Linked DNA regions of Lytechinus pictus. The protein of the gene in region 4 binds, or shares a complex with, the protein of the main gene of each other region. Links are inferred from orthologs where the notes say so. Each region holds a gene or a part of one and is shown on either strand. Other genes may lie near its edges.

Region 1 (7,647 bases), on a different chromosome or scaffold from region 4:
CTTGCCCTCCCATATCTGTTCAATCATTGCAAAGCAAAATAGACATCTCAAGATTAACCAAAATGAAACAGGAAAGTTGTTTTTTCATAATGAAACTTTATGATAATGATGATGATAATAATGATAATCATGATAAAATAGTTTAATGATTAGAACAAATCTATTATAATATTGATACAATAATATTGTAAAATGATTACATCAACAAACAAAAGTATTTGTTAATTCAGGAAACCCTCATTAGCTTCAAGGTTTCCCCACTTTTGAACTATGCCCTTATGAGGTACTTTGCCACTAATTCCCAGGTACATGTACATGTATGTTACCTATTTTACATCTTGTAAGCTGGAATGAGTTTTTCCCTGTATGACTTAGAAGATGTAAATAACATGTTCTGAATATTCTGGTCTGAAAAACAAATCTTTGGCTCCAGCAATTATTCAAGTTAAGGACAAATCATGCAGACTATGCTACTGTTTTATGCCAAATCCCCTAATTTTGTTTATTACTTATTTAAAAAAAATATTTAAAACTAATTTCATAAAAATCATAGATTATTCATCATTTAAATATTAAAATTGGAAGTAAAAAAAAGAAGAGACGAGTCGAAATTCGGGGGGGGGGGGGGTGTGAAAGTGAGACCCCTGAACCCATACCCACATCCATGGATTCTTTTGCCGTAAATAGGCACCCATCTCTAAGGATTTTCTGTGAAAAGACGACCCATGTTTGAATTTGAATTTTAATGTTAACACATTTCAGGTGCAATATAATATAATTCAATTCTAAACATTCTGAAAGTGTTTGGTGAGTTTCAAACCCGCACCAACTGAAGCATATATTATACAGCACCAATTATCTGATTGCGCCATACCAGACAAATTGATCATTGGGACAAAAATTACGGTATGTAATGTACTATTCATTTTCTGTGGATATGAATATTTTTTAGGCATACTTGACTCGGCCCTGCATATTTCATCATTTGGGAGCAAACACAGTTCTAAATCTCAGACAAAATAACGTGGGAAATATAAAAATTAGTGACCCCATGTCTTCAGATTATTTTTGTGGAAATTGGAATCATGTCTAAAGATCTTTTTTATGAAAACGGGAGGTTAATGTCTAAGGATTTTTCTTGAAAAATTCACCCTTCCCAGCGGCACATCTCATATACCCAATAGGCCTGTTTTAGCCTATTTAAATTTCTTTTTTTGCTTTCGCCAAACTACAATAAATATGGACTTATTCCAAGCTAATTGAGAGGAAGCATCAGGGAGCCCCACCCCCCCCCCCCCCCAAGCCCAAACCTGGCTGCAGACCAAGAACTTTCTAAAAGTTAAAAAAGGGGGGAAAATGAAGAGGGCAGTATCTCTATTCTGACTAGAGATTTGATGAAAGACATAAGAAATAACACCTGGCAATTTTTTTTTCATTGAGTTCTAAAAAAAAAAAAAAAATCCCTCAAAAAAAGAATGGTTGAAACAGGTCATTTATAAGTTTTCACCAGTCCAGCATGAATGACATCAAATGGTAGTTTATTCAAAGAGACTCTATTTTAAACTTGTCTGTCTTACACATGCATAATTTCTAAAGTTTTTTTTAATTTTTTCAAAAATAAATATTCCAATAGTGATTAATGATTGCATAGTGTGCTAAAAACTAGGTTTCAAATAATATCAAAAGATGTGCTTGAAAACAAAATAGCAATCCTCTGATTGTTTGCTTCATATTTTATCCAACCTCAACGGTAATTCAAAGGGTCTGGAAAGAGAATAGACACGAAGACTACCAAGACATATGATCAATAAGCTTCTTTATGCATGAGTCAGGGCACCGGCGGATATTCATTGGTTCACTAAATACCACTTCATGAATATGTATAAAAACCTAAGGTCACTCAACCAAATACACGAATGTCATTGGCTGCAAGGCGATCTGTAGTCAAATGAGGCTCCAGTATAAATACATGGGCATATGCAAATCGAACCCTAACAAGAGGTCGCGGCGCTCCTGTAAAGATGGCAGTTCACGCCGAGACCGCTGCCGTGACACACCGCACAATTGGGCGCGAATGGTTCCTACAAATAAGGATTTATCGGAAAGTGGGAAAACAGAATGTGGAGTCGAAAAGAGAGGAAATTTTGTTCTTAGGGTAGGGGATCTTCTGAACAATCTATACATCGTGCTGGAGTTGGCAAAAACGAAAAAGAGGCATCCGAAAAAGCCCCTCTTGAGAGAACATCAGTCCTCTCAATCGACGTGTAATATGCATTGCCATTGCAAATATTTTCTGTGCGATTATCACAGTACCACTACCGGTACATGTACAGAAGAACGAGAGCAGCTTTGTACATATTTTGCCACTGGCAGAATGTTCAAACAGGCGCAGGCAGCGTATTCTTACCTGTTTCAGATCTTGCAAAACATTTTCCTCCACTCCTTCGTCCAAGAATGCATCTCGAACGTTGTTAATCACATCATCGATTACACTTTTGTACAATTTGTGCTGTAAAATGCGAAAGAAGAGAATTTAGGGAAGGCTGAAAATATATATGATGAATAGATCTACATTATCAGGAAATTATTGAAAAAAAGACAAACCCCTGCAAACCATGATCATCGATTACCAATTCATCCAATAATCTGTCGTTAATTTTGTTTATTATATTATTATCTGACGTCAAAATTTCGTCAAGAAGGATGCGTCCTCTGACTGAGTCTGACCTATCTCCCTAAATATTTACTGAAATTTTTTATTTTAATCAAAATCAGACTCGGTTCATAGACAGTCATTTTCAAAAAAGACAATTTATTTAATTAAACACATATTTTTCCCCGTGAATTTTCTTATTAATCCCATAAAGGCTCACCACAGTCTGAGAATTAGAAGCCATTTTCAAATTTCAAAAGAAAAGGTCCAGATCTGATGAAATGAGAGTTGAAAAAAAGAGTACAGGTACGCTTCTCTCCTCACGTCTCGGCTCCACCGAAGCCACTGCAACTCTGTCGCTCGTGGCTTTTATACTCGTCAACAAGTTCTCTTTTTCACCTATAGGGGAGCGGCAAATTGAAGGAATTGTCATACCCCCTATTAAAACTCCTCGTTCAAAACTATTCAAGTTAATGAAAATATAATGTATCATTACATGTATAAAACAACAAAATTGGTTAATTGTAATTAGTTTTTATACATTTAGTAATAATATACAATCAAAAAGTCAATATTTTTTTTCATAATAGAGTTTTGTTTTCATAATTTGCTAATAGCCTTGTATGTAAAAATCGTCTGCTTCCGTTATCTAGTTTGTCGTCTGCTATATGACAATTGATGAAGAATACGAATTTGGAATAAATGCCTCAATGAATGACGAATATACCATTTTTAGCAGGTAGTTTTGATTTTTGAAAATATACAAATCATTCATCCGCAATGCAGTGAAATCCTTGGCAACACCTCGTTTCTAATTAATGTTCATGCAGGTGAATAAATAAATCTCTATCCCTTACAGGACAATGGTCTATCCTCACAAAAAAAATGATTTGAAGAAGGATAAAATCAAACAAACAAGGTATTTGTACATCCTGGTCAGTATATAAATGAGGATTCTTGGAGATTTTTGTTTTTATCTGACAGTAGCCATAGCAATATTGCTTCTCAGCCAATCAAAAATCAAGGTAAGTTGTCAGATCTGACAAGTTGTCGGATGAAAATGCTGATGAAACGCTCCCCTGATCGTGTAACCCGCTCACTATTTATTATTTTATGAAATATGAATGTTTTCATTTTCTCCTCATTATATTGTGAAACAAAGTTTGATTCCTCCCTGAAAATGTGGAATTAACGCTGATGTTCGATGTAGGGTTCCTTTATTGAAAAAATTTGCAAAATTTGAGATATCGTACAAAAAATACAATAGAAATAGTAAGTGAGTGAGACCATCGACTCTTTCACTTATGTGCATATGGTGAATTTAATTATTTCTGGAAAATAAACGAAGCCTTAAAATGTCATGGCTATCTTATTTCACATCCGATTTCGATGAAGTTTCTACTTGTTTGATTTTTTTTATCTTCATTCAAATAAACTGTTGGGGGTGTACTTTCTTTTTAACATGAAAAAATGATTCCTCAAAACAGAAATTGAAACAAAGATTTTATTTACATTCAGTTAACCTTTACCGATTTGGTTGTTCAAAATCCACTTTTATTGCGCTTATCACATCGATGATCGAGCCTTCTGATGCGCATATACAGATTAGTATAATGGTCAATATGGCTTGCCACTTTAATACAGTGTATATGCATATTCCCTAGCTAGGGGAGTATTCTATGATCAACGAGCAACTAGCCAATACATTGGCGTTCGCTTCCTTCCGGGAAACAAGGTGCATCTATGGTCACTTTACCACTACTGACCCGGTGGCAATCGAACACAGAACCAAGGGCGCCGGAAGCGGGGGGGCAGGGGGGGGGCACTTGCCCCCCCCCCCAAATAAAATTTTTGGGGGGCAAAACGAGATTTTGCTCCCCCCCCCCCCCCATGTACCCCCCTAAAAGTAGAAAATGATAAATAATTTAAGGACAAAAGTAAACGATGAAGGCACTTTTCTGCCTAAAAATTGTAATTTCCATTGTCAAAAATGAATGACGGGGCTATTACATATCATAGTAAGCCTCGCGTCTTTTGACGATGTCCCTCTGCATGTGAAACATACCTTTGATAAACCCCTTTTCTATCTTATTACAGTGTGATAACGTTTAACCTTTTAATGAATACATTTCAGACTAAAACCGAATGGCAAATTGAAAGTGGTTCACCAATGCATGCTGGCTGTGTCGGCTAACAAACGCGCGGTCGCCCAAACGCTCAGACCGGACCCGATATCACTAAAGGCGACCGCACACCTTACGACTGGTCTGCGACCCGATTTCAGAATAAAATGTTGTAGAATTTGATGCTAATATTGAGACTTGGAATGTCTTACTGTGTAATGTCATAAATCATCGTACGAATACCTATGATCAAATCTGTGACTATATTATCATCTTAGAATAAAAGAGAATTTAATATCTAGTCGTAATGACGTCATAGCAGTCGTATGATTGGCTACGATTTGAAACTAATTTGGCCTTTACTTCAAAATAAAGGCTTGCAATCTTTCAAAATGGTTATAAGATTATTTTTTCAATTAATTTTAACCTCAAATAAAGTGATATGTTCCATTCACATCTTCAGAAAATGAGCAAAATGCGATTTGTTCCAAAATCGGATCGCGAACAGTATAAGGTGTGCGGTGGCCTTAACGCGCGTGAACGCTAGTTACTCGAGCAACATTATGGAATCTATGTCATAGCTGTTAAGCCCAGAAACCATAACATCTCGAGGTCGTCAATATCTCATATACTTGTTGCCTGTGGAAGTCATCCCTGAAATAGTAAGTAGATGATAAAGATATAGATTTAAATTATGAAAACTTATTTCAATTATTTCATTTTCAACTAAATATGAATTGAGTTAATACAATGATAACAAGTCAGTGCCCTAAAGAAAATACCAAGGTCATTTCAACTCAATATAGACATGTTATCAGAAAATTACACACAGAATAATTATGTGTAGAGGATTATAATTTGTGAAAATGGTGAATCCCACTCGAAAGCAACTTAGAGATAATGCTTATGCATGAAAAAATAAAATCATCTATGAAAGTGTCTACTTGATCTGACTCATATTATCCGAGATATATGAATAAAAATGTAAATAAAGAATATAAAAGAAAAATAAGCGTTACAGTACTGCTCTACTATAAAAATCTTAAGATATTTTCATAGTCCCGTATTTTCCTCGATTCCTTTTCATTGGCATGATTGGCAGGCGTTTTGTCTGATACTATTTCAGCTCATATGATAATATAGCACTTTTGTATTTTAGATTCCAAAACTCCTTCCCATTACCTGTTACTATATAATCAGATCGAGAGGCAGCTATGTTCTCTGGTTCATCCCAGCTTTTGTTATTCATGGACGTATGCAAAAATATAAAAAAATCCGGGGTGGGTGGGGCTGCAAGAACTAAATTTTCAAAGAAACTTAAGAGCGAGGGGGTTTGTGATGGGGGAGCTTTTGCATTTTCTAGAATAAAATTGAAGGATTTCGTGCACACTTTTGGTGAATTTTCAATGAATTTTTGCCCTCTCGATCGGCGGCCCCCGGCTGCGTACGGTCATGTTTGTCATCTTAAAGTCTTTAAAAGGCCTATATTACATTTGTTTGAAACAATTTCGTTTGCCAGGCTCGTCATTTGCTGGAACTGCGACCCTGATCATGAAGAAACGGGAGGAAACAGAAGGAGCAAAAAGAACTCCAAGACAATGCGAAAGGATCTCGATCACTCCTAACATACTTTTCAAAAGTACAAAAAAGAGGAAAAGGACACTACAAAGTCAACTCAAGCAAGTGGAGGTTTGCCAGAGTCCTCCACAATCCACGAAAACCCTGCCATATGCCAGAAGGGACAAGAAACCGAAGTTCTTTAAAGGAAAAACCCAAATCAGTCTACTTCAGCTAACTTCAAGAAAGACAATCACGGCAGGCGGTTTCGCCCTGAGCGGCATTTTGCCATATATGCCGACAAGGGTGCTTGCGAAAAAATCCTAGTGGTGGAAGAGAAGAAGAGGTTTTCAGCAAGAAGGGGTTTTCAAACTGGAAAAAGGCAATTTAGGCTTTCCAAAAGCATGAGCGAAGTGAAAGCCATCGCTTATGTTTCTGAAAGGATATTGCATGAAAATTTTTGGTATTTTGAGTCAATATAAGCGTATAATACGTAATTTAATTGATCAGACATGAAAACCACATTCCGAAACGATTGTTTTGCGCGTAGATTTCATAGGTTCTCATAAATTATGAGTATAGTCTTTCGTAGTGAATTCTATGTTTAATTCTCAAGAAATTTATTTTTGAATGCTCTTCGATACGCAACTTTTATACTCCATTTTTACACAAAGTCCTTACCATGGGGGGTCCCACACACTCTCCCGCTCGATCGCTTCGGTATCTCACGCTATCAAAAATACTTGTGCCCCCTTCGGGATTTTGCCCCCCTAAAACTGAAAGTGTTCCGGCGCGCCTGCACAGAACCCACTGATTATGGCATGTTGTGATAGAACAACTAGGCGCACATTGTGAACAGACATTACAACACTTCGTTTCATAATCTTAGGCCCATGTCTTATATTTTGCTGCTGTGTCAAATTGTGTTTTACCTTATGTTTTATGTCATCTTCATGATAGATGCAAAATTGGAAGAGATAAGTTTTGAAAACCTACATTAAACCTACATTTCTATACACTTTACTCATACCTAATGTAAATTCACTGTTTTTTAGATTGTAAATTGACCCTTTCAGCTCTGCTGTTAGCCTTTAGAGGCGCGATAGCTCAGTCGGTAGAGCGGGGGTTTCGGATTCCGGTGACCCGGGTTCGATTCCCAAATGGTGCGCTAGTGCCCTTTGGTAAGGCATTTATCCTCATTTCCAGGTCCCTCGGAGAGGACCTTAAGCCGTTGGTCCCCTGGTTGCTTGCTCACAGGCATTCGTGCTTTCTTAGCAGTCAGGTATAAAACCTCGGTATAAAGTATCCGATATG
Region 2 (7,658 bases), on a different chromosome or scaffold from region 4:
TATACTATCATGTTATTCCATTTTGTAACTCTATTATGTAATGATCTTTGTTCACCCAATCGGGTGTGGGAGGGAAGGCCTGTGGGCCATGGCCATTAAGTTGACCTATTCCCTACCCAGGCTACCTGGTTGGGTGAGAAAGGGTCTAAAAACTATTTGTATTTTTGTACTATTTCTCAATCCTGCATTGTACATGCTGTCTTGTTTTTGATGAAGTGCCGAATAAAATAATAATAAGACACACTCTCCCATTTGGTCACTGACTGCGTGCTCTTTCACTAAACTTTTCTTTAATATTTTACATCCAGGATTTCAATATGTTCAGTGTTGGGAATTTAGGGCTGGCAAATCTTATCTTAAGAACTTACCAACTCTATGAGAAATAAATTCATCATGAAGGACTGAGCTGTTTGCCTGAATTTCTACCCAGTCAATTGCTATTGTGGGAACCTCTGCCAGCATAGTCCTCCTGATACTGTTCGCAACACTGTGGTCAATACAGAAAAAAAGAAAAAGAAAAGAGTACTTCAGAACCTTGTTTACTGTCAAGAATGAGTGGGATCGATCGATCAACGGACAAAATTTGAGGTGAAAATCTTAAATTAGTGTCCTACAATGTAACATCGCAAGGTCGGCCGGTGCAAAACTGTATAATTAGCCATTAGCGCTGTATTTTTTTGGTCCAATTATGCTTAAGCATCTGATATGGGGGATTTTACTCTACAGTAGATTAGTTTTGGGATTTGGGGCAATGCACTCATTCAATGAACAAGGTTATGATATAACATTGTTCTCTGTTACTCCCTGTGTGGTGAAATAAGGTTGGCAATGTTTGGCGTATTTTCTCCTGTTCTAGGGGACAAAAACTTGATTTTTTGACAGTCAGTTTCCAATACAGCTATTCATCATAAACTTGGCTCTTAAGTAAATTGAATTCTTTTAATTATTTTTTATAAATTAGAAATAGATTTTTTAGCGTCCTAAGTTAACTTTAGTGAATATAAAAATGGTACGGGCAAGGTTAATAAAATAAATTGCAACTGTATTACCATGATTACTATGGAAATTAGTATTTTTGGTTACAATAAATTTTTTTAAATTAATTATTTATGTATGTGCTCTGTACTGCATTGGCATACCATGTCATGTAGATTTTCCACACAGGCAGGGTGGTTGCTACATGTAGCCTTAAGGACTCCATGATGATATTTAAAAAATATTTTTACATGATTATAGCGAAGTGGGGGTGAGATCGTGTTTTGTGCCTAGTAAGCATTCATATTTGGTTAAGATTTTGGAGTAATTTCTGTTGCTGTTCTGTGACTGTGCAGTTTGAGGAAAAATATGTTTTCCGTGATTTTCCGTTTGAAAAGCCACTTTCAAAAGGCCATTTCTGTGAAATCGCGGAAAATCACTGAGTCCAAACATAATATTGGGTATTATTGACGAGAGAAACGTTATAGATATCCCTAAGTGGCAAAAACAAGCGATTATCGACAAGACTATCGATAAAGACGTTATCGATAACAGCCCTAATGTCACCCATGGGTGCATTACGCACCGTGTACAGGAAAATTGAAGGCATGGCGCATGCAAAATTGCAACAATTGCATGGCAATCCCGCAAATATAATTAAAAAGAGGTTTTATAAAATCAAGTCCTTCTACGAAACTTACCGAACGATGTAAAGTCAATTCCCCCTAATATCACAAATATCCGAGTCATTTAAGCGCTGATTTCTCTTCTCGTTGATAAAATATGGATCCGTCTTTTAATTTCCGATTTTTTTTGTCTAATTAGCTAAAGAGGGCGTGCGATTTACATGCAAAGTGTTATGCAAAGTCGGCAAAGTGTCCAATCTTTTTATTGTAAAGACTTCGGTGGAATGTTCGTTGACAAACGAACGGTAGCACTGCTGGCTTCGTTCAAGGCATGTAGGCCTAGAATTTTCTATTTTTTTGTTTAATTTGTCATCGCTTGGCCTTGGATGTTTTCCAAAAAGTATTAGTGTCAGCAAAAGTAATCTGAAAAGTATGTTTTTTAAGTTATTGCATTTATTGGTGTCTATATTTTATCAAACAATCATGGGAATTTCGCATACAATGAATCTAGACTTTTTCTAGTTATAAAATACAGACGAGCTGAAATAAGGTTGTGAATTGTATTACTATTACTATTAGCGCCACCAACGACCTTCCTTTTAATTTCCATGGACTGATGGAAGAGACATGCAAAGGCAAGCCACTTCCCCGGCCGAGGTAAGCGATTTTGCTCTTTTTTTATGTGCTTTGTATATTAAAAATATAAAAAATGAAAATGGAACGCCCGTCACCAGAAAAAGTGGTGTCAGTGGTGAGTAGCGGAATGAGTTTTGACTTAGTTTTGGCTAACATTATTCCCGTTAATATGAAGCGATGTTAACCGACAACTAGTAAAATATCGACTGCGTAGACACGTACGGATACGTCGTGCAAGGTTTGTAGGCCTATAGCATACTAACCTCGCAATACGTGTGAGTGGGTGCGAGGTTAGTATACTAAAGCCTTAAGATAAGAGTTAAGGACTAACCTCGCAATACGTGTGAGTCACTGAGTGAGCAGCACGACCGAAAAACCCTGTTCGTTTCAACCCAATTGACATTGCGTGCTAATCCAACTCGCACAGCTCAAGTCACACATGACATTAAAAGTTACTCTTTGACTTTATAAACGAATTTTACCTAAGATCTGTGTCTTCGATTATGAACTTCACATTGTCATCAGTCAGCTCCGTTAACTGTATCGTTGGTTGGTTGGCATAAGGCATAATTCTAGACAAATTCTGTAAGATTTTATCAGAAATTTGATTGTCGGTCCTCGGAGTCGGAATAAAAATGAGTATGGAACGCGATTGGCAATCAATGGTGGCGAATTTTGATTTTGCGCGAGTCGGGCGTTGCAAGAAACTAAAACTGATCAAATGTAAAATTGCTACAGAATATTTGCAAATATGTTTTCTTGCAACACGTACGCCTTTACAATATACCACCTGTATGGAGTTTTTTTTAAAGCTGTCCTGGCATGGGCCTGGCATGTTTTGAGTGTTTCATCCAATGTTTTTTTTTTTATTATTATGATTTTCTTAGTTGAAATAGCAGTTTTCACATTAAAGGGTACATTAATTCAGTCTGAAAAATGATATCTTTTCAAACAAATGAAAATAAATTAAAAAAAAAAATAAAAGAGCCATCCCAAAGAGCATGAAATATAGGCCCTATAGCCTAAAATCCAGATCCAAATCATTCATTGAAAGACGTGTATTTCATTACATTGATTTTGCATTTCTTCGTCTAGTTCAGTTGCTTTGTCTTTTTTTTCCGAGTGGACCTCTACTCACCGGGCATAAATCTTTTTGTCACCCCATGGGCCCTGACGAAGAGTGTGATTTTATCTTTCATTTTTGAGAGCTATGCTCCGTAAAAAAATATATGATTACCAATTGTGATTTATTAATATATGCCAGCCGCTATAATTAGGAACATGCCTCATGCAACTTCGATCCGCAAATATATATAGTGGACGGAATTAAAGACGTTAATTTTATTTTTATCACATTTTGTGGAGTGTTGTGGCCTACTTTGCAAAGGAGATCGTGGGCAGCTGGGTGGTCTAGGAATTTTTTTAATGAGGATAGGATCATGCTGGTTTTTTTTTTAAGCAACTCCCCAAAAAAGGTTTTCTCTCCAAATCAAAGTTGATTTTGGTTTAAAAAAAATCAAGCAAAAAAAAAAAGTTTTGGCACTCAAAAATTAGTGTGATTTTGGTCAAACCATAGAGATATATTACTAGTTTGCGTTATTAGTATATATCTCTATGGGTCAAACCCGCTCTCAACTAGTATTCTATCCAAATTCAGGGGCGCTGATGAACATGGTCATGGGTTCGAATCCCAACCATTGCGTATAATTTCCTCCAGTAAGAAATCGATCTACAATGTGTTGTATTCTCCACCCAGATGAGGGTACTTCTTCAGTCATGGACTGCTTCTCATCGATAGGCCCATTTTGAGTAGGTCCATGATTTTGAAAGCTCGAATTCGGGTAATTAGTCCATAGACCGTAAGACATTGGAATTTAAGCAAATGTAGTATTTCAGCGATTTCCACACTTTTGTAGTTCAAGGCCTATTTTTCAAATATTGAATTTTACAGATTAAAAAAGAAAGTAACGCTTCGTTCAAGTTGCCAGCATGAACAGTTTCTTTCGGGCCAGAGTAATTGGAGCCAATTCTACAGGGGCCGCGGAATCTGGAGGGGGGGGGGGGGGGGGCTTCAGCCTCCATTTTTTCTGTTCAATCAGAATACACGATTAATGCCCTCTGTCTCTCCCTCATACGCACGTACACACGCTCGCACACCACAGAAATACATCAGGGGCTTTACATCGTGTCAATGGGGAGGTTTACATAATAACAGGGGCCGCGGAACGGTTTTCAAAGTGCCGGGGGGGCTGACCATGCAAAAAATCACAATCATATGGTAATTTTTAAGCCCCCCCAGCCCCCCCCCCCGCTTACGCGGCCCCTGTAATAAATGGTAATAGGAAAGATTCATACATTTACTTCTTAGATAATGTTTCAGAAAATTTCGTAAGGAGCAAGAGAAGCTATCTTGTCACGTAAGTTACTGATGTTAAATTTTCTAATAAATAATTAGATGCATTATATAAGATATGCTTAAAATAATATTCATAAATACAGTAAAATCGCTGTTTAAAATCTTATACAAAGCTATTTACTAAGTTTAGGGGAGTTTAGGCCTACGGCTAAGTAAATGTTTAACAGTCTGAACAACCATGCTTAATTTTTTGAAGATTAAAGGGGAAGTTCACCCTGAAAAAAAAGTTTATTTAAAAAAATCAGAAAAGATAATAAAAGATATTCATTTTGACGAAGGTTTGAGAAAATCCATCGAAGAATGAACAAGTTATTAAAATGTTGATCAATTGATTTGTGACGTCATATGCGAACAGCTGTCCTGCATATCGTATGGTAACAAAAATCAATGAAATGTCATTTTCTCAAAAAATTGAAAATGCTGGTTTTTACTGTATACCTTTAGTATATCAATAGATATATTATTTCACACCTGTTCCTAAAGAGAAAAAAAATGGTTATCACGAACCATTTAAAATTTGAAATTTATGCATTCTATACATGTATTACATAACATATGGGGTCGCTGCTCGTTTATGACGTCACAAATCAAAAACTTATAATACCTTTTTTAATCTTTAATGGATTTTCCTCAAACCTTCACCAATATTTGTTGTTGTTGCTATTTTTACAACAAAGGTTTCTTCAGGGTGAACTTCCTCTTTAAACAGGGCCGTAGCCGGGGGGGGGGGGGGGTTAATTCCTGGATTCCGCGGAACCCCGCCGCTTGCCAACAGCCCCCAAAAGTCTTGAATAATATTTGATTAGCGAGGTGTGTAACCCATTTAATTCCCAAACTCCAAAGAACAGTGTTTGAAATATCCACTTTTCATGTAAGTAGGCCTATATCAATCATTTTCAGCGATTTGCATATGCATTATAGGGGTACTCCAAGCTAAAAATAATATGATTTTGAAGAAAAAAAAAACACTGAAAATATGATCAAAATCGGACAAGGAATAAAGAAGTTAATATATCATAATAAAGAATTGCATTATTTCGGTGAAACAGTTCTATGCATATATATCTTCATTAATATTCAATAAGCAAGCTGATGACGTCATTTCCCAACTTGTTCTTTTGTTTTTGTACATGAAATTATGTTTATTCAAATTATGTCTTATTATTGAAAAGTGTGCTTAAAGTGTCCAGTTTTCAGATCGGAATGTGAAAAATTCTGCTCGCTGGCAAGATAAAATAACTCGTCATGTCGACATAATTAGGCTATTATGTCAACATGGCAAGATAAAATAACTGCCATATCGACATTGTCTCGTAAAAAGTCACGTGACGTCGCGATGCTATGCCCGTATGTCGCGAATTTGGTTTCGGAAGTTGCGTGAGACAAGAAAAAAGTCATAAGTGCGGCGCTATCTTTTTGCGTTTCCGAAATATTGCGCGAAGCCTTTTAGGGTTAATATAACCGTCGCACTGACATATGCCTCACATGCCTCAACGATCTGCCTAGATGTTTGCCATCACTGGCATAACCACATAATTTGATGTCAGCATCTGGTATTGCTTGTGCTGCACATACTTTGCCGTTATGGCTGTTGACAGGCGCGGATCCAAGATTTCGTGGGGAGGGGGGGGGGGGGGGGGGGGGCCCAAATTTGACCTGATTTTTGGCGCCCATGTGTACTTTTTGAAAAATTGCGCCCCCTCCCTCCCGGCCAGGCTAACTTAAATGTAACTTAAATGCCTTAAATGTATTTTGAATTATCTTATTACATAATCACATTAAAAAAAAGGCAATTAAAGACCACTTTTTTAATGTGTTCTTGAAAAAAAAAATCCATGAAAATATAATGTAATATCAATGGGAGCGCGAAGCGCGAGCGATTTTTGGGGGTCTCAATTTGGTTTAACTTCTCACCAGAGTAGGCCCTACTAGAATATTGTGTGAACGGGAGCTGTAGTTTCTTTACTAGTTGTTTAGAATAGCCTTCAATAATATCAATGATAACCTCTTGGGAATAATGCAATCTCGAAGCAATCGACTCAATCTCCTCATCAGTGGCGAAGCTGTGATTTATTCAGCAGGGTTGCACGGGGGGGGGGGGGGGCTTGTTGAACTTTTGTAGAGGGCATGAAGATAAAATAAATAAATAAAATGGGGGGGGGGGTAGAAATTAAAGAAATTACGAAATTTTATTCTTAAAAACACATTGAGGTATCTCACAAGGCCTAAATAAATAATGATAACTCGAAGCGCGATATATTTGGAAAGTTTTATTATATTTCACCATAATCCCTTTCCTTTTCTCTCTTTTTTTTCTTGGTCGTGATTTTTTTTTTTTTTTTTTTTTTTTTTTTGGGGGGGGGGGGCAAAACGCCCATGTCCTAACAGTCATTTCCTAGCTTTACTTTATAAACAACATGAATGTGCAATAATCTCTTAAGCCCTATGCGAGATAAAAAAATAATTAAATTTCATGTATTTTGACCTGAAAATTGAACATTCTGGGCAATGTTTGTGAACCTGAACAAGATGCGTATGTAACTAGATAATTACTACGAGCGCGAAGCGCGAGCAGAAATTTTTAATGTGCGTTCTGGCCTGGTCGAAAAGGGACCTGTTAAGCAAGTTTTGCAGTTAGCCATTAAGACGATACATATTTCAACGATTAAATAATTAGAGCGCGAAGCGCGAGCTGAACATTTTTGATATTCCAACCTAAAAAATTAGATTTCAAACCCCCAACGGGACACTCGATTCATGTTTTGTCACTCATGAAAAATGATGGGTAGTTTTTGGTATCTTCCTACATTGATAATGCGAGCGCAAAGTGCGAGCAGACATTTTTTTATATTCTGATCTGAAAATGGATAATTTTAGCACGTTTTGAATAAGATCAAGAAGCGTATCTTAATAAACATGCGTGCACGTGTTTTAGACTTAGACAGAATCTGGGCATTCTGAATACATTTCATTTTTCATCATGAAAATCAATAATGCGAGCGCGG
Region 3 (7,349 bases), on a different chromosome or scaffold from region 4:
ATGAATATGCATGAAATTGCTGAATCTCAATAATTTTTTATTGATACTGGAGCGATCCGATCACGAACCAAGACCATTTCACGCATAGACAATGTGACCGGATATCGTTATCGAAACTTCCGCACGCGGTCCAAAGGAATTATTTTGGCGACCACGTAGTCATGACGTGATCTGCACAATGGACCAATCAGCGGTCTCCAAATCGCTGTGAGGAGATGGTCTATCTGTTGTACACAGACAATGGACAATTTGCCACTGCGCTGTACCTCCCTGACCCTGTACTCAAGTACTTCCCAGAATTTAAGTTTCTCCGGCCAGTATTTCTCATTTGACTGGCAGGAAATACCTAAATTTTCTGGGAAACTGCCAACCCCGAATTGAACTTCTGGAAATAAGATAAGTTGCCTCAGTTTTAGGGGGAGGGGGCTGAATCAAATTATCAATGTCTGCAGTAACCTTAGGGACTAAGTCATTTATAAAGCAAGTTCCAGGATAGACCAAAAGCTTCGGTCTCTGTTATATTGGTTGTTCCGCTGAACTCTGTTGGCCGGCTCCACTCACCAATTACAGAGACCGAAGTTCTAACACGATCTTTACAAGGACTCAATGGTCATATGTTTATGTATTAAGTTCGAATAAACCAGGGAAGTGGGAGTTGCGCTACAGCCGAAGTAAGTCACTTTTTTTTGGTCCAGTTCTTTTTATATATGTCGGGGGATTTCGCATTGTTAATCCCCTAATGGCGCGGCTGCACGATCGCGAGCCGTCTGTGTACAAGAAATAAAAAAATAATAAAATGTTAAAAAAACTCCTCGAAATAGACAGCTGCCAGCTTTCTAGTTCCAGGATAGCCACATCTTTAATGGCAACACATCAAGACCAATGAAGGCCAAGGATGTCCTGTTGACTGGCCTCATGGAGATTTGAATTGCCCCCTTTTCCTTTTCTTATTCAAGAAGAAATTATGTGGACGATGTGACCTTGTCCTCTCAAAGTATAAGCCTGACACATATTTCATCTCCTTGTTTGAGTCCTCAGAGATTAATAATAATAATTGGATTTATATAGCATTTTTTCCAGAGGATACAAAGCGCTATGGATGGCATAAGACAAGTTAAGGTTTATGGCTATATAAGTGTGTTTTGAGATGTTTTTTTAAGATGTCAAGAGAAGAGAGGTTTCGGAGAGATGGAGGGAGTTTGTTCCAAAGACGGGGGGGGGGGGGGGGGGGGGGGCAATAGATTGAAAAGAGTTGAAACCAGCCTGTTTTCTGGACTTTGGAATGACATAGGAAGGAGCAGCTGCAGAACAAAGAGAGTATGTAGATCTTTGTTGCTGAAATAGTGAAAAAATTTAAGAAGGAAGTGTGGTTGACAGAGATTTATAGGTTTAAACAAGTATTCGACAATGTATTCTATCAGAAACAGGTAGCCAATCAAGTTCATTTAGAAGAGGGGTACTGGGGTAGCTAGGGACAGTGATTTTCCGCGATCGCGGAAAACGGACGGAATTCACGGAAAGGGCCTTTTGAAACGGAAAGTGGCATTTCAAACGGAAAATCACGGAAAACATATTTTCCCTCAAAATACACAGAATAGCAACATAAATTACTCCAAAATCACAACAAAATGAGAATATCAAATGGCCACAAAACCCCAGAAAACACGATCTCACTTCGCTATTATCATGACAATTCACACATCGTGACTGCACTCGACATCAGCACACTCGATTGTACCCCGCACCGTACCCGTACCCGGCCGGCCGGGTTGGGCTTCACATATGCACACATATCGTTCAACTACACGGTCGTGTGTTGCTGCCCTCTACGTTTGAAGATGTAACAGCACGATATCGTGGTCTGAAAATCCAAGATGGCGGATTGGCAAAAGCCGTTGACTGATGATAACGATGTCCAAAAAACCCCAAAATCATCGATGAAATATCATTTCACCGTAAAATAATGCTAATAATGTGAAAGGTGAGGATGTATGCATGCTAAATGGGTTTGTAAAAATATTTTATGCACCCGCATAGATCCGATTAGAACGGATTCTATTGTGTTGTTGGTACAGTAGCAGATACAAATTTTGACCAGTGCGAGTGTACCTTAGTGTTGTGATTTTGCTATTCAATGTGTATTAAAAACGGAATTGTCACTTTTCCGTGTGTACAAAGTCTATGGGGAAACGGAATTTCCGTTTTCTGACATGCTGAAACGGAATTTGAGATTTTCTGAAATGGAAAAGGCAATTTTTTTAAACGGAAAATCACTGTCCCTAGGTAGCATGACAATATTTTGGTTTTTGACAGATTAATCGTGCACATTTGTTCTGAAGGCGTTGAAGTCTTCCAAGATACAAAATTTTGGGTGGAAAAAATCATGCTTTTGTTGGTGTTGTTTCTTTTGTCCTTTTGCAAAGCAAGTCTACAATATGGGAGATTGTCTCCCTCTTGGAGAGAGTCTCCCATATTGGCCGTGCGCCTCTACTGCCCAAGCAAGCAACCTTCTTTCTCTAGTCTAGCTAGATCTAGAAACTTCTTTCTCTAGAAAAATCTTAACTTAAGTTTTTAATAAATAGAAATAATCTATCATCCATTTCCCCAAATCCAGGGCGCAATTTTTGGAGAGAATGTACACAAAATTAAAGAGAGACAAATCACAACGCTACGTGCGCGTGCCGCAGCAGAGAGCGAGCGTACCACTGCCTTCATCCCAGCCCCAGTCTGTCGGACCAGATAAACCGAGGTTTCGCCCAATTCTCTCGCGTGGGATTTTTGGTAAACACACCACGTTACATCAATTCAAAGTTCAAAACTCAATCACAAATATCAAATTCAACAATGAATTAAACAATAGCAGGCAAGCACATCTTACTTCATTGCTACGTGACGCTCTTCTACTTGACTTTCGAGTTAAAATATGATGTAATTTACAGGATCTCTTTTTTAACTCCGTGATCCAATTCTAATTTTCGGAATCTGGCTAAAGGCTATGGGATGCCATTGATCCCATGCAAAATTGAGATTGAATTCATTTGTTAAGTTCTTCAAATTTTATGCATTGATCTTGAATAAACTATTTTAAGAAAATACGATTTTACTTCAATTCTGGACAAAATATTGAATTGAAATATTAAAATAATTAATTATAAGAGGGGTATTTTATATTACATATTTATTGTACTTCAAGCTTTCCATACATATTAAGGTATTGCGACGGTAAACGTGAGATTGCGTTCATCAATCTGGCGATTGGGATCTACATTTTAGGCGAACAAATATAATAATTTTATTGTTTTTCAGCTTATACTGCTTTGGTATAGTGAGGAGGAGACCAATTTCTTTCTTTTTCTGACGGCATTATATCGTAGATACCAAGTGAGGTAAATATATTGCATTCGCAATTTTGGGCCATATTAAGGCCAGGCAGGATAATGCGCAAGCCAAGGCTGTCACTCACTCCGGATTCGCCCCGCTCCGCAGCCAAGCCTAGGGTTCGGGGTTACCTCTCTAAGCTCTCCAAACTCGGGCCTGTGAAGCTGCTGGCGTGTGTACATAGTCATAGCAGAGATCGTGTGAACGAATGTAAATGAGTTACCAGTGAATATGTGAATGATTAATAAAAATTAAACTTCTCTTTTGCATCTTTCTGAGGAGTAAAGTTTCCATGCGAATATAACTGTTTATATAGACTAAATTTCAAAATAAATCTTTGAACAGCAAGGACAAGCGGGAGGGAAATAGAGATTGTTTTGTAAATTTGTATTGTCCACAATATGGAAATTATAATTTATGATTAAAAGACCATTGTTCAATCCTGTCCAAGCAATTCCTTGCATCTCTATACATCACTTTCCAATCCCATATTGCAAATGAAATCTGTATGTAGATCTAGGTCATAAAAAATTGTCTTAAATTGTATTGACAAGTATAAATCAGGCGCGAATCCAGGGGGGGGGGTTGAAGGTGCGTAAGCCCCCCGTAGGATTTTTAAAAATGAGACGAATTGACCTTACATATAGGTGAATAACTTTTTTTTTGCTTAATATTTTGGCGGACAAATTATTGACCTTAAATTTAGGCGACAACCTTTTTTTTTTTGGTCAAATTTTCAACGGGTAAATTATGGCACCCCTTTTAAAAAATCTTGGATCCTGTAGCACCCCGTGAAATTTTAAACTGGATCCGTGCTTGTATCCAATTTTCTTGTTATTTTCATTACCATTTCAGGCATGTTTAACTTCAGTAGTTCCGGTGGTCGTCGGCTGTGGACAGGTATGAAATGGGTCGTCTATGCTGAGATAGGGTTCTTTGGAGCTGCATACTATGTATGGCACAGGATGAACACTCAACAAGGTATTGTTACTCACCTTATACTATATAGCAACTCTGAAAATTGAACAAAAAAAGCATTAATAGTAAAACTGAAGACTTACTCATTTAACTCTGCATATATATAGTTTGATAGTGTTTTGTTTCTCTCTTTTCACCTGTGCATCTTGAACATTTATTAGATTCAATTGGATTTTGGAACCTCAGATATCACATCTATTATTATTATTAAAAATCCAGATTGTTCATTTCAAGTACATGCTTTTGGGGAGGGGGTAGCCTTTAGGCTAGTAGTCATCAAATTGAATTACTTGCCCCTGTGCCTAATCCGATTAAAAGAGTAAGTTAATGTATTGTGTTGTGTTTATTTGTTTATGTTATGACCTGTTCGGTGAATTGTTAAAGGTAGCAGCTTCAATCATAAACCATGATAATCATCAAATTGTGACTTTACGCTCTTTGCCCCCCCCCCCCCCCCACTTCAAAATTGTTCCACAGCCCCTGAATATGGCTAAATTATCATATTGCAAATAATTGCGCATCTTTTTATTGAAGTTGTTTTATCAAGCATTATATCGTATATCATTTATTAATGAATCGAGGCCTGTTTTCTCATTTATTTTCAGATTTTAGGAAATATATGCATGAGAGTCATCCCAAGGTTCTTGAATGTAAGTATTTTAAACAAGCAATTTTCACTGTGAAATAGAAGTTTGTTTTACCCATCAATAGATGGTATTTAATTTGAATGTGTTTATTACAAAGAAAATTGCTTTAATCTGAGTACTGGAGAGTATAAAACAAGATTTAGATTGCAGTCAATTTGAAGAGAATAGAAAAATGCCAATTAGACCAGTCACCCTTAATCATTAATAACTATTTATCTTGCTCATTGACACTTGATAAAATGTAGAATATATAAATGTTTATTGATGACATTGTGGAACTGCCCTGTGGTGCATTGACTTTATGTCAGTGATTTGGGGTATTTTATTGAACTATTTATTTAATCATGGTAAAACTCACATTCAGTCAGAACAGACTGCTTTTGAGCAAGTCTGTGTTTTGTGTGTTGAATGTAAAAGGGATATACTGTATGTTATGATTGAGTAATCTGATTTTGTCTTATATCTTCCTTACAGTATTCTACAAGGGGGCAGAATTCGGAGGATTTAAGGATGCGCGGCAGCAGGACTATGCAACTTGGGGCATCAGTAGTAAACAAACTGTTGATGAAGATTTATGAAACCTACTGAGGATTATTAAAGGACTAATACTAGATAGACTTAAAGTCTTCCAGGTTTACATTTGAATTGAGTAGCAGCATCAGATGAAATTGATCACAGAGGATCTATTAATGTGTCTGCCGCCCTCTACAGTCTGAAGAGGGTATTTCATGTTGGCTCCATCAGAAGTTCCACTTAGCAACACTCCTGAAGACTTGTTGTTATTATTTGTTCAATGTCTCCATACTTGCATGTCAATTTGCCTGTGGCAAGTGATCTGGGGTGTGTTTTGTTTACAAATTTGCTCTGAGCCAATCAGATTCAATGATTTTGGTAGCTTATAACAATTATCAGTGACAATCACTGACTATTGTTTCATGTAATGCTCCCCAGGGCCAGGTATTTGAACAGTATATGTATAATTATTTTACATAGGAAATGATGACAAACTTGTAAATATACGATATTTATACAAAATGTATCTGATCTCTGTATTGAGGAATATATTATATTAACAATTTCAAATGCATTCAAATTTCTGGAGCTCCCGGGCCCGGTTTCATAGAGACTAGCAACTATGGTAACTTTGCCATTATTCTTACTTCCGTCATCCGTTGAAAACTTGATTTTGATCTGCTATTGAGCCCTGTTACCATGGTAGCTGCCATAATAGCAAAGTTATCATAGTTATAACTCTTTATGTAACAGCCACAGAACATCCTTATCAGAATGATAAAGGAGTTTGATATGTTAACAAAGTTCACCCATTCGTTACTGTTGACATGAACAACATATTGTACTAATCGACAAACATGTTCTTTGAACTTCTTGAACATAATAGTGAAACATGCATGACATGTATGATTAGTTCTCAAGGAACAAAGTCGGGTCAATGATATAATGCTAGTTTTAAATTCATATTCATCTGTTGCATTATGTTTGATCATGTCATTCTTATGGTGATTAAATCTTTTCCAGAACAATTGAGATATCAGTCAAACGTCAATATAGTTTGCACATTGTATGTGTAGGTATTGATGAGAATTACTAATTGTTTTATTGCACAACTGGGATTTCCCTTAAAGATGAATATAAAATCATGACATCTATAAAAAAATAAAATAAAAAAAGCAGTGGTGCCAGGGTACTAGTTAAGTTGCAAAAAAATCCCTTTCCATAACAATTAGGATATCAGTTGAACATCATCATGGGTTGCTTGTTTTACACGTGGGTATTCACTTGATAAGAACTACTGATTGTTTTCTTCTGAAGGGGGAATTTCTGTGAAAGATAAAATGTAAAAACTATCAAATCAGCTGCTTGGGGTACTTGTCAAGATGACAGAACAATTTATCAAATGAATATTTGGAGTTAACAGTACCATGACAGGCAAGTGGGTTCTTTCTCAAACTCTTTTTTTCATTTTCTTCCCCTCTCCCCCTCTCTGTCTCTCTCTTCACAACATGTGTTTCTCTCTTTCTTTACTACTTTAAACATATAGGGGTGGTTGCTTGTCAGCCCTACCTGTAGATATGTTGCCCATTTATCAAGATCCTTATTTAAGTGGCATGTCTTGCCTACCCTAACTCTAAGTGTAATTTGTCCCTCACTTAAGTATCTTTTATTAAATGCATAAAATTTTAATAAATCACTTTATTAGTCAAATGTATTGAATTATTCTGCATGTGTTTCTGCATGTAATATACAGTGTAATACAGTGCATCCCACAAAAAACGAAACCAAGATTTTTCGATGATTTATCACAAATACAATAGATAAATGACATAC
Region 4 (7,922 bases):
AGAGGGGGCAGTCTGCCCCACCCCCCCTGACGAGTCCCAAACCATGCAAAAGACGTATCCATGCCCCCCCCCCCCCCCCCCGACGAGCTTGCAGACCTTGTTTTTGCTTGTCAAATTTTTTGGCCGACGGCTTTGCCCCCCCCCCCCCTGTGGAAAATCCTAGGTACGCTACTGTTTCTATGATTTTAGATATAGATATTCCTACAAAATTAATGTTACCATGGTAACGGCAAATTAAATATCAGACCTATTTATGAATATCGCCACAGGTAGATTTACGTTCAGCACCAATTAATTCGCGGAAATAGCAAGAAGATCGAACTCTACAAAAGTAAACATAATCCTTTATAATATCATGACGAGTATCGCACTGATTAATATTAGTATGTGCAATATAGATGTAATATTGTGCGCTGTTTGTATTTTATCAGAAATGCGCATCCGATAAAATGTACATTGTTATCTTTCGCATATATAACATAAAATGATATATCTTGCATCTTATCTCAACATTTGTTTTCACTTTATGTGCCATGACAACAATTATTATGTATTTATTCGGTTAGCGCTAAAATTGACGAAATTGAGATGCGGAACACAAACATTATACTATTGATAGTTTTCACAAACTATTATTTTTAGTAAATCACGATTTTATATTTCATATTGCCATATATGTGTGTGTAATATTCCAAATTGAAATGCATATTTAGTAGACTTATCATTTAAAACTCTGAATAAAAATAATTCCATATCAAAGATAATCAAAAATATGATGATAATCCGTCAAAATATCAAAATGCGTGATTTTCAACAGTCTTTCAAATTTTATGCAAAAAATGATACTTTCACGCAAAAGTGTACTTGGCCTCCGCCCGTACGTTATTCCTCAGTTTTTCCGCAAGACTTTTAGCTGGGATGCAAAGAATTGACAAATTGTGCTATCTAATTAAAAACTCGCTTTAGTATGTACTTATACATGTAATTATGTACATAATGTACGGTATTTTCAATTTTTCTTTCAAAATGCGCACCTGATAATTTAAAAATGCACATTGTCTCCTTTCGGATATCATAAAGTGAGATATCTTCCATCTTACTTGTAAATTCTTTTAATATTTGTGACATTAGGACATTTACTATACATTGGATGGACAAACGCAGTTAAATCGAAGAATTTAAGCTGCGTAAAAAAAACTTCAAACTATTGATAGTTTTCACAAACTTTTATTTTGAGGAAATCGCGGTTTTATGTTTCCCTGTGCCATGTGTGTGTGTGTAATATTCAAATTTGAAATGCATATTTAGTAGACTTATGATTTAAAACTCTGAATAAAAATAATTCCATATCAAAGATAACCAGAAATATGATGATAATCCGTCAAAATATCAAAATGCGTGATTTTCAACAGTCTTTCAAATTTTACGCAAAAAATGATACTTTCACGCAAAAGTGCACTTGGCATCCGCCCGCTCGCTATTCCTGGGTATTTTTGCAAGACTTTTAGCTGGGATGCAAAGAATTGACAACTTGTGCTATCCAATTAAAAACTCGCTTTAGAATGCACTTATACATGTAATTAAAAACTCGCTTTTAATTTAGTAAGTACTTATACATGTAATTATGTACATAATGTACGGTATTTTCAATTTTTCTTTCAAAATGTGCACCTGGTAAAATGCACATTGTCTCCTTTCGGATAACATAAAGTGAGATATCTTCCATCTTACTTGAAAATTCTTTTAATATTTGTGACATTAGGACATTTACTATACATTTGATGGATAAACGCAGTTAAATCGAAGAATTTAAGCTGCGTAAAAAAAACTTCAAACTATCGATAGTTTTCACAAACTTTTATTTTGAGGAAATCGCGGTTGTATGTTTCCCTGTGCCAAGTGTGTGTGTGTAATATTCAAATTTGAAATGCATATTTATGAGACTTATAATTTAAAACTCTGAATAAAAATAATTCCATATCAAAGATAACCAAAAATATGATGATAATCCATAAAAATATCAAAATGCGTGATTTTCGACATTCTTTCAGTTTTTACGCTAAAAATGACACTTTCACGCAAAATTGCGCTTGGCATCTGGCCGTACGCTATTCCTGGGTATTTTTGCAAGACTTTTAGCTGGTATGCCAAGCATTAACAAATTTTGCCGTCGAATCCTTATCTAGAGCACTTTTTTACTTTTGGCCGGTCTACTACAACGTGATTAAGGTTGTTTTTTTTCTTCAAATTTTCGCTGTTTGCGCCTACCTCTAAGAAACACCCCTTTTTCTATATTTTTTCTTGCAGATGCTGTCCAATGGACCCCCCACCCGCTTACAAATTGTGATATATTGTGACTGGTAAAGACATCCACAAGGATGATGATGTCATTCAAGATGGCACTTTCCAGTAATACCAAAATAAGACAATTTAAGCGAGACTATTACCTCTGCCACTTTCGCAATGGCTGCGGGAACGGCATCAGCGTCATCAACATTGAAATCTTAACCAAAGTTAAATTTTTGAAATGTCATTATAAACTGAGAAAGTAAACTGTACATGAAAATACATAATAATAATAATAATACTCAGTTCTTGTATAGCGCATAACACATAAATAACGTCTCTATGCGCTTCCAAAGGACTTGGTTATTATTACCCCGGCTGTAGCTCAAGCAGCTAGCTTCCAGCACTCGGCATTTCAAGGAATTCACCTCACCTGGGTTGAGTGCAGCACAATGTGGATAGATTTCTTGCTGAAGGGAACTATGACATGGCTGGGATTTGACCCCACGACCCTCTGTTTCAAAGTCCGGAGACTAATCCACTGGGCCACAACGCTCCACATTGTAGTTAATGAGTCTTGGGTCTTCCAAACCAGTTTGAATGACCACTTAAGATATCCTCCAAGAATGCTTCAAGCGTTCCCATTACTTGTTAAACTAGTTTCCAGTATTTGGTTTCCACTAAACTAGCTTCAGGACTGGAATGAGAACGGGGTCTTTTTGGTGTTAAAACAAGGGGAATTGGTGACAGATTACCTTGTCAGGTGAAACATTTGTGTTACTCACTTGCACACCAATACATAGGAAGGAAGAGAAGGAGGAGAAGATTCCGGGGGGGGGGGGGGGGGGGGCGGGGAGAAGATTTATGCTTACCTCACAGAGGATACATAGCAGTAAATTACACTCCTTGTGGTTAAAATCCATCTTAAATACAAATGCTACGAAAAGGATGCCTCTTGACACAACTGTAAAGGCAGATATCAGCACTGTATATATTTATAGTTTATTTAAAATTCATGCAGAATCCATGTGAAATTGGTAAATTATACAAACTAGAAATCAGATACGACCAAGTGCAAGGGATCAAAGAATTTGACACCCTTCTGAACTTGTCATGCCATAACATGATACCATTAATTAAAACTGGTGCTTAGTGCCTACTTGTTGTACATAACCTTCATGACTGAGTGACTGTGATTCAATTATTGCATATCTCTTTCCTATTTTCTCATCATGATTCATTGTTTATTTGCCTTTTTTCTTCATTCTTTGTCAAATATCTCTGATTTGATTTGTTAGCAATGAAACATCAAGTTTTATGTGCACTTTCTTGATATTTTTGTTCTTTTAAAATTGGCTATCAAGTTGTGCAGGTTTGAGATTATGATAGCAGTCACTTGCATGAACATGTCTGTAACACATCAGTATGATTTCTTTATTCTTAAAAGAAAAAAAACAAGTTGTTTTAACTTTTTTTAATGTGAATTTAGTTTCTGATTACCCTAACTTTAATATTGTATACATTAATTTCAACAGTTAGAATATTGTTTAATATGTTAATTGGAATTTGTTGGTATATGATATGGTTTACCTTTATGTCCTTGTATCTTTTTCTTCTTCTTCTTCTCCTTTTCCCCCTTCTTCTCCTTCCCCTTCTCCTCCTTCTTCTTCTTCTCCTCCCCTCCTCCTTCTTCTTCTACTTCCTCTTCTTCTTCTTCTTGTACGTCATTGTCTTCTTCTACATCTTCTTCTTTTTCTTCTTCCCCTTCTTCTTCTTCTTCTTCTCCTTCTCCTTCTCCTCCTTCTCCTTCCTTTTCCTCTTCTTCTTCTTCTACGTCTTCTTCTTCCTTGTTTCCTCTTCTGTCCACATTCTCCTCATTCCAGCCTTCTGCAATAATAAGGAGGACACAGTCTAGGCCAAGAAAGATTTAGTTTAATGAAAACAAGATAGTGCATAGGGGAGATCGGGGTTAGTTGGAACATTTTTGACAAAAATGGCTGTAAAATCCAAATAGAATTTATTTGAGAAACAATCAATATATCAGCTTAAAGCATAAAGGGCTTCAAATGTACCCCATAAATTTTTGAACTCTATGATGATTACTGAAAAAAATCCACCTTGAACAAGACCATCGCAAGCGTTCCAACTTACCCCATATACGGGGTAAGTTGGAACACTGCATGGTCAATTAAGAATTATACTTCTACTTACAACTGTTATATTACATGGTTTTGCTTTATTTTTTACAAGTTCAAAAAATTTAAGGTGTGTATTCTGATTTGTTGAACTTTATGTTTTCTATTATACAGCCACTCACGCAAGCCGACTGTGTAGTAGGATTACGCGTATTTGTGTGCGCATGATTTTACATGCAATTAAAAACAAAAATTCCTTTCTAACTTCACCAGGCTTGTTGCACATGTGTTGTCTGTAATATGGTGGATGGCAGTTGATAATGGCAATAAATTGAGGGCAGTAGTGCATAAATTTATTAAAAGGCGTTAAAGAAAATTACAATGTTTCAACTTACCCCGCGTTCCAACCAAACTGATCTCCCCTACAGTATCTCTATAAAGAGAAGTTTAGTGTTGTCAAGTAAGTAAAGTACATAATTTTGAAGGGAAAATAATGTATATATTTTTCTTTTCATATTCACAGAGTACATCTTCGTCATCCTTATCAACACCTACTAGACCCAATACAGGAGATGTGAAGGAATTCAATTTCAGATTCCCTCTGTAAGTGTACATTTTAACGTTCAATTACTATTAATTAGTCCTAATTTTGTATCCTGCATATGAGCTTTTTTTCTCTCATTGTCTTAAAACAGGAAGCTAGAAGTCAAAGTTGCTCGCTTGTCTAGCTTGGCTTCTATCTGGCCAGGCTCCATTTGGGGGTGACAACCCTAGCTTGCATCCATATGCACGAGCTGTGAAGGGGAATACCCTGTTTCAGTCCCAGGAGCAAGTGGCTTTGGCCCCTGGCTATATCTGGTTTGGGTTGACTGCCCATTCCAATTCTAATTACTTTAGTCACATTATTTAATTATGTGGCAGTCACTGGCCACTTTTCATCAGATCATGATGGCAACATCAGGCCCAAAGAACAATGTAAATAAAAACAAAAAAAACAAGACTGACTGATGCTACCACACTTCTTCACCTTCATCTCCAATAATAAGACTTCTATATCCAACTATCCACTTGGTCTACTAGCAGATGTTCTAATTTGCAAATTATCTGACACCATCATGGCTCTTAATACAAACTTGGTCTATTATCAAATTGGTCTAATTTCTGTGTGGTCCTACCATCAATTGCAGGGCTCAACTTTAAAAGGGGCTAGGTCATTTTTGATTGGGCACTTTTAAGGAAAGGGAATGTGGCACTCACCTTTTTGGGCATCCAAGGGCATTTAAAAAGGGCATCAATAGAAATATGTACTGTACTTCTCAATGGGACACATACACTGGATTACCACATGTTTTTGACATGGTTTGAAATTAGGCTAAAGTGATGCAATGGAAAATAGGAGATTAGCGTATGTCTACTGTCTTTGTTAAGCTTATTTTGTTACGTAGGATGTTAGATTTGGCTATATAGCAATTGAACAAAAAACTTGAGATATTGAAGAAATGGAATAAACTTGATTATATACTGAAGAAAGGCTTTTCCAGAAGCATAGATTATGAAAAGGTTTGTTATGGAATGTGTGGGTACCCTCCCCCCCCCCCCTCACCCTCAGTCGCATTTTAGCGTCCAAATATGTTCCACAAATTTCCACTTTGAGTTAGGAGCTCACCATTTAAAAACTAAATATTAATGACACAATCAAACCTGCTTAAACAACCACTTGTATAGAAGGACAACATGCCTGTAAAGACCACAACCTTCTATTTTTTCCTTGTATAGTATTCTGCATTGAAACATGTATTATAGCAACCTATCCATAAGGACCATATGCTCGTAAAGACTGCTTTCCTTGTCTACTTTGAGTTGTCTTTATACACAGGGTTCACTGCCCTATGTTCTTCTCATGCATGGTTGTAAATAAAAAGTATTTTGCCCCCCCCCCCTCTCCGCCCTTGACCTTGCCCCTCCTCAAGCCCCTAAGCCAAACATTATACAGTTATACTATTCTTTTTTTCCACAGGAATCAGAGGAAGAAGTACAGTGTGATGCAATTCAATAGAAATGACAATGTTGATCTCTCCAAATGGAAGCAGGTACACATGCAATTATATGGTTAATTAGTGGAGAGTGCAATCAGGGGGAGGGGGGGGGGGTCACAAACTTTGAAATTCTGACTGACCTACAACATCTCATTTACAAGATAGTGCATGTCCAACACTATGAGGTAATGTGTTACACCACACACAACTAGGAATTTAAGTGCAATCTTAAGTCAAACTTAGATCTGTACATGTACATGTTTGTGACCTACCCCCCCCCCTCTCAAATACAGGGTCACTTGTCATAACAATGATATTGCGATTGATTAAGCCCTGGTGTTGTGAATTATGAAAATTACATGTAAACTTGACATGTCATTTCTAACAGTCCAGTCTTATAAAAGCTTAGTGACCAGTGTTTAAGTTTTCATTGATACTTTATAAGAATGAGAGTGTTTGACTGTTTATTAAAACATCTTCCTATGTACTATTTAAGCCATAAGCCAAGAGAGTTAAAGGGATGGTCCGGGCTGAAAGTATGTATAATTTAATAGATAGAGTGGAATTGACTGAGCAAAATGACGAAAATTTCATCAAAATCGGATAACAAATAACAAAGTTATTGAATTTTAAAGTTTAGCAATATTTTTGTGAAAACAGTCATCATGAATATTCATTAGGTGGGCTGATGATGTCATTTCTCCACCTGTTCTTTTGTATTTTATTATATGAAATTAGGTTTATTCAAATTTTTTCCTCCAAGAACTAGAAATATTGGATTGACAACTGATTTAGTGCGTTAGATATTTATTGCTGCAACTTATTTAATTATAAGGGAGACATACTTTTCACACAAGTATGAAATAATGAAAAAATTATGATTTTATGTAATAACATAAGAAAACGGAAAGTGGAGATGTGACATCATCAGCCCACCTAATGAATATTCATGACGACTGTTTTCACAAAATATTGCTCAACTTTAAACTTCAATAACTTTATTATTTGTTGTCCGATTTTGATGAAATTTTTGGCATTTTGCTCAGTGAATTCTACTCTATGTATTAAGATATAAATATTTTCAGCCCGGACCATCCCTTAATATCATACTCCAAGATATACAATTATCTACAATTGGGATATTTCTATTAATTAAATATTCATGCTAGGGGAAATGTTTTACGTCTTCTGAATGAGTTTGTTTGGATTGTTTTACATCTTCTGAATGAGTTTGTTTGGATTGTTTTATTTTGAAGGAGATTGTTTAGATTGTTTTACATGTACATCTTCAGAATGAGTTTTTTTTTAAATCCGAAGACATAGACAAATAACTTCCACAATACCTCCTTTGACCACCGTTCTCTAGGCTAAGATGGAACGAGAGAACAACAAGATCCACTACAAGACGGACCTCGATGACCTCCCAAAGTTTGGGGCAGGGAGTGAGTTTGGTCGGGAGAGGAAA

The links.
Region 1: general transcription factor IIF subunit 1-like (region 4) and transcription initiation factor IIA subunit 1-like share a complex: the UniProt entries of both Homo sapiens proteins name them as parts of the TBP-based Pol II pre-initiation complex. The link is inferred for Lytechinus pictus from reciprocal best matches to the Homo sapiens genes GTF2F1 and GTF2A1.
Region 2: general transcription factor IIF subunit 1-like (region 4) and DNA-directed RNA polymerase II subunit RPB3-like share a complex: the UniProt entries of both Homo sapiens proteins name them as parts of the TBP-based Pol II pre-initiation complex. The link is inferred for Lytechinus pictus from reciprocal best matches to the Homo sapiens genes GTF2F1 and POLR2C.
Region 3: general transcription factor IIF subunit 1-like (region 4) and general transcription and DNA repair factor IIH helicase subunit XPD-like share a complex: the UniProt entries of both Homo sapiens proteins name them as parts of the TBP-based Pol II pre-initiation complex. The link is inferred for Lytechinus pictus from reciprocal best matches to the Homo sapiens genes GTF2F1 and ERCC2.

Annotation. Positions count from the first base shown.
Region 1 is NC_087251.1:22,636,871-22,644,517, forward strand, and holds the start of transcription initiation factor IIA subunit 1-like, read right to left. Parts: upstream 3,012-7,647; 5' UTR 2,898-3,011; coding exon 2,874-2,897; intron 2,510-2,873; coding exon 2,408-2,509; intron 16-2,407; coding exon 1-15. UniProt on the Homo sapiens protein: TFIIA is a component of the transcription machinery of RNA polymerase II and plays an important role in transcriptional activation. TFIIA in a complex with TBP mediates transcriptional activity.
Region 2 is NC_087246.1:61,220,088-61,227,745, reverse strand, and holds the start of DNA-directed RNA polymerase II subunit RPB3-like, read right to left. Parts: upstream 3,017-7,658; 5' UTR 2,806-3,016; coding exon 2,720-2,805; intron 488-2,719; coding exon 369-487; intron 1-368. UniProt on the Homo sapiens protein: Core component of RNA polymerase II (Pol II), a DNA-dependent RNA polymerase which synthesizes mRNA precursors and many functional non-coding RNAs using the four ribonucleoside triphosphates as substrates.
Region 3 is NC_087251.1:46,649,558-46,656,906, forward strand, and holds the start of general transcription and DNA repair factor IIH helicase subunit XPD-like, read right to left. Parts: upstream 3,001-7,349; 5' UTR 2,884-3,000; coding exon 2,879-2,883; intron 1-2,878. Other genes in the region: protein CEBPZOS-like, read left to right, coding at 4,236-4,359, 4,962-5,006, 5,478-5,581. UniProt on the Homo sapiens protein: ATP-dependent 5'-3' DNA helicase. Component of the general transcription and DNA repair factor IIH (TFIIH) core complex, not absolutely essential for minimal transcription in vitro.
Region 4 is NC_087255.1:31,039,427-31,047,348, forward strand, and holds the start of general transcription factor IIF subunit 1-like, read left to right. Parts: upstream 1-4,899; 5' UTR 4,900-4,914; coding exon 4,915-5,024; intron 5,025-6,438; coding exon 6,439-6,511; intron 6,512-7,823; coding exon 7,824-7,922. UniProt on the Homo sapiens protein: TFIIF is a general transcription initiation factor that binds to RNA polymerase II and helps to recruit it to the initiation complex in collaboration with TFIIB. It promotes transcription elongation.